2 linked regions of the Caenorhabditis elegans genome follow. The protein of the gene in region 1 purifies or fractionates together with the protein of each later gene. This does not show direct contact. Each region holds a gene or a part of one and is shown on either strand. Other genes may lie near its edges.

What was found.
Region 2: the proteins of ndx-6 (region 1) and frh-1 fractionate together in Caenorhabditis elegans (co-fractionation; one large-scale study listed by BioGRID). This does not show direct contact.

What each region holds. Positions count from the first base shown.
Region 1 is NC_003280.10:5,388,045-5,391,841, reverse strand, and holds ndx-6 (Putative nudix hydrolase 6), read left to right. Parts: upstream 1-1,960; 5' UTR 1,961-2,004; coding exon 2,005-2,038; intron 2,039-2,086; coding exon 2,087-2,297; intron 2,298-2,343; coding exon 2,344-2,667; intron 2,668-2,711; coding exon 2,712-2,925; 3' UTR 2,926-3,013; downstream 3,014-3,797. Other genes in the region: brap-2 (BRCA1-associated protein homolog 2), read left to right, coding at 1-24, 702-1,130, 1,181-1,282, 1,328-1,405; rsp-4 (putative splicing factor, arginine/serine-rich 4), read left to right, coding at 3,016-3,221, 3,278-3,415. UniProt on the Caenorhabditis elegans protein: Probably mediates the hydrolysis of some nucleoside diphosphate derivatives.
Region 2 is NC_003280.10:5,915,524-5,919,373, forward strand, and holds frh-1 (Frataxin, mitochondrial), read left to right. Parts: upstream 1-1,898; coding exon 1,899-2,109; intron 2,110-2,155; coding exon 2,156-2,252; intron 2,253-2,503; coding exon 2,504-2,606; 3' UTR 2,607-3,041; downstream 3,042-3,850. Other genes in the region: cgt-3 (Ceramide glucosyltransferase 3), read left to right, coding at 1-85, 140-360, 411-734, 778-909, 958-1,125; Tyrosine-protein phosphatase non-receptor type ptp-2, read left to right, coding at 3,189-3,208, 3,255-3,383, 3,438-3,850. UniProt on the Caenorhabditis elegans protein: Promotes the biosynthesis of heme as well as the assembly and repair of iron-sulfur clusters by delivering Fe(2+) to proteins involved in these pathways.

The sequences.
Region 1 (3,797 bases):
GAGTATCAGAGAGAATCGAATGCGGTATGTTCATACTGGACCAAAAAAAAATTGTTGATTTAAAAACAATAATTTTTTGTTAAAAAACTGGTGGAAACAAAAAAAAAGAATGTTTTGAGGCTTCAAAGTGCCGAAAATCAACCTTTTCGTATAACTAATTTGAATTTCGCGCACTAATTAGTTTTGAAAATTCTCGGCCGTGTACTCCTCTCGGGCAATGAATCAATTAATTTTTTTGGATGCAATTTTTCGGGTTTTCTCATTGAATTCTATTGGTTTTTGTTTGAAAACAAATATATATATATATATATATGCGTCTGTAAATGCGTTTCAAATTAATTATCACACAAATACTTTTGTTCTGCCTAGGAATAAGTGCTAAAATCCTGTAATATATTCATTTTCCCCTTTATCGTTGAATAATAAGTATGATCATGTTCTAAAAGTGTTTGAAATCCAAAGTGTTTGATTTTTTACTTTATTTTTGCTATCATAAAGCAAAATTTTTTTTTTTTCGTGAAAAAATACCTTTGAAAAACAGAAAAAAAAGCAAAAAAAAAGTCCAGCACTGTTTTGTGGCCTTTTCATTCTATACAGAAAATTTATAAATTCATTTAAAATTTTGTTTTCAAGTATTCTGACTAAATAGACCAGAATGTTTAGTCTTCACTCAAATTCCCTAAAAATGTTGAAAATTGCAGAGCTTTGATGACAAAAACCAAAAGGGTGGAGACAAGCTTGAGGGAATCAAACTCGAATACACTCTACTCCTGACCAGTCAACTTGAGGATCAACGGAAATATTTTGAAGGTCTACGTCACGATATGGAGCAAACGATGTCAAAAATGGAGAAAACTGCTTATGCTCAAGTAGAGAATCTCGAGCATCAACTGACGGAACGATCAACTGAATTGAAATCATTAAAAGGAGATTTAGATGATACTGTGACGGCGAGAAAAGTGGCAGAGAAACGAGCAACGCAGACAAATGAAAAAGTGAATAAGCTTGCAAATGAGTTGAAAGATGAACGTGAAATAAATCAAATGTTGAGAAAAGATCAGCAAGTGTGGAAAGGTCAAGTGGAAAAGCTTATTGAAAGTCAGAAAACTGCTCGAACCGAGTATGAAAAGGTATTCGTCTAAATAGATTCCCTTGATCTCTTGAAAGCTTTTCTTTTCAGAAAATCGAAGATCTTCAGTCACAAGTCAATGATCTTTTGATGCATTTTGAAACTCAAAATAAGCTGAAAGAGCAGTTGGATGCTGGAAAAATAACTCAAGAGGTTGGTTAACCAATGCTCGCCACAATAAAAATGTTTAATTTACAGGAAATAACTGAAAGTCAAGTTGAACTCGATTCGTCGTCCTCCTCGTCGAGAAAATTGAACAGAAAGAAGAAAAAGTAGTTGGCATCTCAGGAGATCCATGTCCTATTTAATTTTTGCATATTGAACATTTCTTTAATAGTCTTTTCATATATGGTTAGTCTCACTTGAATATTTATTCGCTTTCTTTCGCGTATCTCATCGAATTTTGTGCGGTATATATGTATGCAGCCGGTAGTTTATTTAATGCATTCGCTTATGAATAAAATGATATCGTTCGAGTGTCTTTTGGTTTCATATTATGTACCATGTTTTCAATCGTTATTAAACGACGAGTCAAAAACTATTTTTCGAATTCCCTCCTCTTTCCTTGCTGACACATTTTCGGTGCTGACGCAACTCTTGTGTTCACTAAGAACGCACACTTCGTTTTAAACGTCTCCGCTGGCCATCATTCTTGTTTCCTTCGATTTTTCTCGATACTTATCTTTTACAAATTATTTTCTCTTTTTTTCAAGATTTCCATCAACTTTTAATATCACTGCTCTCATAATTTCTCGAAACTCTTCGTATTTCTCTAATTCAAAAGTTTTCTGCCGCATTTTTACACTCACTAACCAAGATTATCGATTTTTGGGCAATTTATGACAATTTGGAATCATCTTTTGTGTCGTCCGATAATGAGTTTCGTTCATCAAAAATGCAGAAATATCGGTATAAACAATGTATTAATCTAACATTAAATACAAATTTAACCTCTAGATACGGTTTACCTTGGTAGTAACATTCACCGACTAAATGTGCCTGATAATCTTGTCAAATGGAGCCAAGAATGGTCAGGATACAATCCTCCGGCTCACACCGATCCAAAAGTTGATGGAGCTGTTTGGGCAGACCCAGAAATCGATGAGAAAACGTTCCAACCGTCTTGGAATGCGATCGATGGGAAAATCAATAGAGTGTCATATGTTTGGTGCGTTTATGAGTGTATATACTCAATCAATCAAGAAACCTTCCAGTCAGTACTCATTTGATCCTGTCACCCTTCGCCCACTAAATCCTATTGGACGTACGGGACTTTCTGGTCGTGGTTTGCTTGGTCGTTGGGGTCCAAACCACGCAGCAGATCCGATCGTTTCTAGAACAAACGACAATGGTGATTTGGAGTTTGTTGCAGTTCAACGTCATGACAATGGCGAGTGGGCAATTCCTGGAGGAATGGTGGATGCTGGAGAGCATGTTTCACAAACTCTACGGCGCGAATTCGCAGAAGAAGCAATGCATGGAATTGTCGATTCTGAAAATCTTGATGAATTGTGGAATAATGGTAAAGAGTTATACAGGTGCATTCACAGCTCTTTTATCCCACTCAATGTTTCATTTACAGAGGTTACGTTGATGACCCACGTAACACTGATAACGCATGGATGGAGACTGTTGTTTTCAATTTTCATGATTCAAAAGGCCTTCTGAAAAATGTGGCTCTTCAAGCAGGAGATGATGCTAAAGCTTTACGCTGGATTGCAGTTAATTCAAATGAGCCACTTTACGCTTCTCATTCTCATTTTATTGATCTTCTAAAAGAATCTCATTCTCATTAACTACCACATGTCTCTCTTTTCTCATGTTCTCCTCTTATTTTCGCGTTTCTGTTAGCTATATTCAATTCATAAATGATTTTCATTTCAGAAATGAGCCGTGGAGGAGGTGGTGATCGTCGTGCCGCACCGGATATCAATGGTCTAACTTCGCTGAAAATCGACAACTTGTCGTACCAAACAACGCCCAACGATTTGCGTCGAACTTTTGAGCGATACGGAGACATTGGAGATGTTCACATTCCAAGGGACAAGTACTCTCGCCAATCGAAAGGATTCGGATTCGTTAGATTTTATGAGTAAGTTAAATTGGAACTATTGGAGAGAAAACATCAGAAAATCAATATTATTTTAGACGTCGTGATGCTGAGCACGCATTGGACCGCACAGACGGAAAGTTGGTTGATGGACGCGAGTTACGTGTGACTCTTGCAAAGTATGATCGACCATCGGATGAGAGAGGAGGCCGTGGAGGTGGTGGTGGACGTAGAAGGTTAGTATACTCAGTTGATTCCCCTTGTAGTTGTGCTCAAAAATTAGGCGCGAGACTTAATGGAACCCTTGTCTTCCTGACTTATTTATAGAACAGCAGCAGAGCCAGATGTTGCTGAGCTGAGCTGAATTTTTGCTGCTGTTGAAGCTGTAAATGCTTGCTGAGTGACACTTGAGTAGCAGAATTGCTGAAAATGCAGAGAAAAGCAGTTTTGATGTTGCTGTGTCTGCTGAATGAAACCAGCGGCGACAGTGTGGAAAAGGCAGAAAACAATTTTGTAAGTGCCCGAATATTTTCAATCGGCATATTCTACAGTTTGTTGCTGAAATTCAACTTTCGGTGGCAAACTGTATTGATAGACGTTGTTCTTTGTCTTTGAGTT
Region 2 (3,850 bases), 530 kb from region 1:
TTCAACTCTTCAGATGATGAAGCTGTGGAAGTTGTGAAGTGTCTCATGAAGAAATATCCGAAGGTTGATGCGAAACTTTTCTTTGGTAGGTCAACTGCTTTTCTGGAACATTTTTCTTAAAATCTTTTATTTTTTTAAGGAGGTGAAACCGTTGGACTGAATCCAAAGATCAACAACATGATGCCTGCGTATCGTTCTGCACTTTATCCGCTGATATTAGTTAGTGACAGTGGAATATTTATGCGTTCAGATGGTGTTTTGGATATGGCCACAACGATGATGAGTCATGAGAAAATGGCATTAGTGACACAGACACCGTATTGTAAGGATCGAGAAGGTTTCGATGCGGCTTTTGAGCAGGTAGAACATGGATTCCTTAGAAAGAAATCTATAAGAGCTCTAAATTTTAGATGTATTTTGGAACTTCTCATGGACGTATATACCTAGCTGGAAATTGTATGGACTTTGTCTGTTCCACGGGAATGTCATCAATGATGAAGAAAGAAGCACTTGATGAATGTGGTGGCATTTCTAATTTTGGAGGATATCTTGCAGAGGACTACTTTTTCGGAAGAGAGCTCGCAAATCGTGGTTACAAATCTGCAATATCATCTCACCCAGCTCTCCAGAACTCATCATCAGTATCGGTTTCGTCATTTCTCGATAGAATTTGCAGATGGGTCAAGTTAAGGATTGCCATGTTGCCACACATTCTTCTCGTTGAGCCATTGCAGGTAATTCCAAAATTCACTTTTTTTTAAATCTCCAATATTATAGGATTGCTTCCCGTCTGGTTTAATCATGGCATTCAGTTTGAATCATTTGGTAGGATTGAATATAATGCCAATATTGATACTTCATACTATCTACTGGTTCAGTATGGATTACTCGCTAATGAACAGTATGCAGGTAATATATTTTCTAATAAAATATACATCAACATTTTTCAAATTTCAGAATGGCAAATTGAGCTTCTCTCCACTTCAATTTATGCTCATTTGGCTTTTGCGTGAGCTCACCGCTCCTTTCGTCTTTATCAAAGCTCTTTTACAACCAACAATTCAATGGCGAAACAATGTTTTTCATTTGGCATGGGGTGGACAGATACTTCCACCAAAATGTTGATTGTTTCATTTATTCATTTTATTTCCAAATTTCACTAACCCCAAATTCATCATTCTTGTCTGTGATTCTGTTTCTCAACATTATCGTAAATCCTCTCACTACATCATCTGAATCTTTAAAGTCCGGGTTGTTGTCTCTCCATCAGTTACATTGTTAGCTTCACTCTCCTATGCTAACTGTCTCACATTACGGGTGACATCTGAAATACCATCTTCTGTGCTATTAATACATACACGATGGCCTAATAAAATATTCAGATTCGATTTCCTTAATTTTACGATTATATGAAGCTCAGGTTCAGAAAAATTCCAACTATGTAATTTATATCACCATAAATACAAATATCGAACAATACTATTACCCTGATGCGAAATTTTGCGATGTTTCCTCTAAAAGTACGGTACCCGGTCTCGACGACACATCATTAAATTTTTAACATTAAATGCAAAAAGCTATGCGCCTTTTAAGAGTACTGTAATTTCAAACTTATGTTCCTGCCAGATTGTCATCATTTTTTTTTTCATATTTTCGACAAAAATACATTTATTCATCCTAAAAACTCACATATAACAATACAAACGCTCAACTTTTGAAAAATCGTTGGAAAAAATTCGATAAAAATTCTGCAGCAACATAAGTTTGAAACTACAGTACTCTTTGAAGGCACACACCTTTTTGCATTTAATAACATTTGTCGTGTCGAGACCTTTTTTTCGGCTCAAATACCACATAATTTCGCATATGAGTAATATTCAGAATAACAAAGTTTTCAGATGCTCTCCACTATTCTACGAAACAATTTTGTACGTCGCTCATTTTCGTCCCGGATTTTCAGTCAAAATGAGTACGAAACAGCAGCTGATTCAACATTAGAAAGATTATCAGACTATTTCGATCAAATTGCCGATTCATTTCCGGTTTCCGAACAATTTGATGTATCTCATGCAATGGGAGTTTTGACTGTTAATGTATCGAAATCTGTTGGTACGAGATGGTTCTTGTATTTCTTAAATTAATTACTTAATTTCAGGAACGTATGTTATTAACAAACAATCACCAAATAAGCAAATTTGGTTGTCCAGTCCGATGTCTGGTCCGAAAAGATATGATTTAGAAGAGGAGGGAAAGTTAGTAAAAACACATTTTCATTATTTAAATTGTATATCTTGATCAAAAGCACAACTCCACTAGACCGAATATGATCAAGATGATCGTGTAACGAAAGGTTTCACGAACATCAAAAGAGAAGATTTAGATATATATCAGTTTGCAGACAAATGAGATTAAGCCGAGATGAGTAACATGCAAGTGTCTTATTGCGTAAAGTGCAGAAAAGAGGCGGAGAGGATGAGCACAAATTAACGCTTTTTGATTTCAGATGGACTTATGCACACGATGGTGAACAACTTGACTCGCTTCTAAACAGAGAATTCCGAAAGATTCTGGCCGATGACCGAATCGATTTCTCGCGACATGTCTAATCCGGATTTCATATCATGTGATTTCTATTCTCTCTCGATTTTTCTCTTTTTCTTGCATATTTGATGTATCATGTTTTCTCATGTATTGTAACTTAGTTATATATTGTCTAGATACTTTTCTGGTAAAGTTTTTCTTGCCCAAGCGTTTTTTATACGTTTAATGAAAATGAAACTGTGGAAAAATCTCTGATTATTATCAAAAAGTGCTGACGGATTCAGATTCACGAAAACTTTTCCGTAGAGTCTCCGTTCTAGATTTACGTTAAACAACGCGCGGTTCGTTATTTCGGAGTGTCGTTAGATAACCAAATTTTCTCGCATAATTTCCAAAATGAGAATTTTACAATTTCTGAACGTTTGTGCCAAATTTATTATGTTCTTCTATGTTCCTTATGTTCTAAAATGTTAATTAGTTGATAAATTCGTATTATTCCGATTTTTAAACCGATATCTCAAGCGGTTGCGTTGTCTTTCTGTAAACATGATTAATATCGTCTCATAAAATTTTCAAATTTAGGCGACTCTTCTCCATCTACAACAAAAAAGTCATTTTTACTTGGAGCTTTGCTACTTTTCAAACAAATGCCACGCCTAGCGCTGCGGTAAGATCGTGTATATACTCTAACTAGTTCATAATCGAATTTTCAGACAATACAACTTCTATTACCGCGTGAATGGTGAAAAGGCCGAAGAATTGCTCAAAGAGTATGGCGAAGATGGAGATTTTCTTCTTCGATACAGCGAATCAAATCCGCAAAATTTCTCGATTTCTGTCAGGTTTGTTGTAGTCATTCACTAATAAATTAATACAATTTCGGAAATCGTTTTCAGAGTCGCCGAAGACAAAATTCTGCATATCAAGGTGACAAAGTATGAAAGCGACATGCTCAGTATTTTCGAAGATGAACGGACTACGCCAAATCAATTCGGTTCCATCACCGAACTCGCCGAATTCTACATGGAGTTTCCAGAAAAACTCAGGGAGAAGAATGGACTCTTTCTTGAACTGAAAAAACCTGTTTATGTGCCATATCATCTGGAAGCTTGCGCAGAAGAGCAACGACGAACGCAACTTTATCGCTGGTGGCATGGAAATTTACCGGCAAGTAGTGCCAACAAATTGCTGCAAACTGAAAAGAATGGAACGTATCTTCTAAGAGCAAGTCAACACATACCAGGAGCTCTCGTAATTTCCGCTAAGACAGAAGGACAAGTAGTACATTTGACTATCTATCAAGATCCAA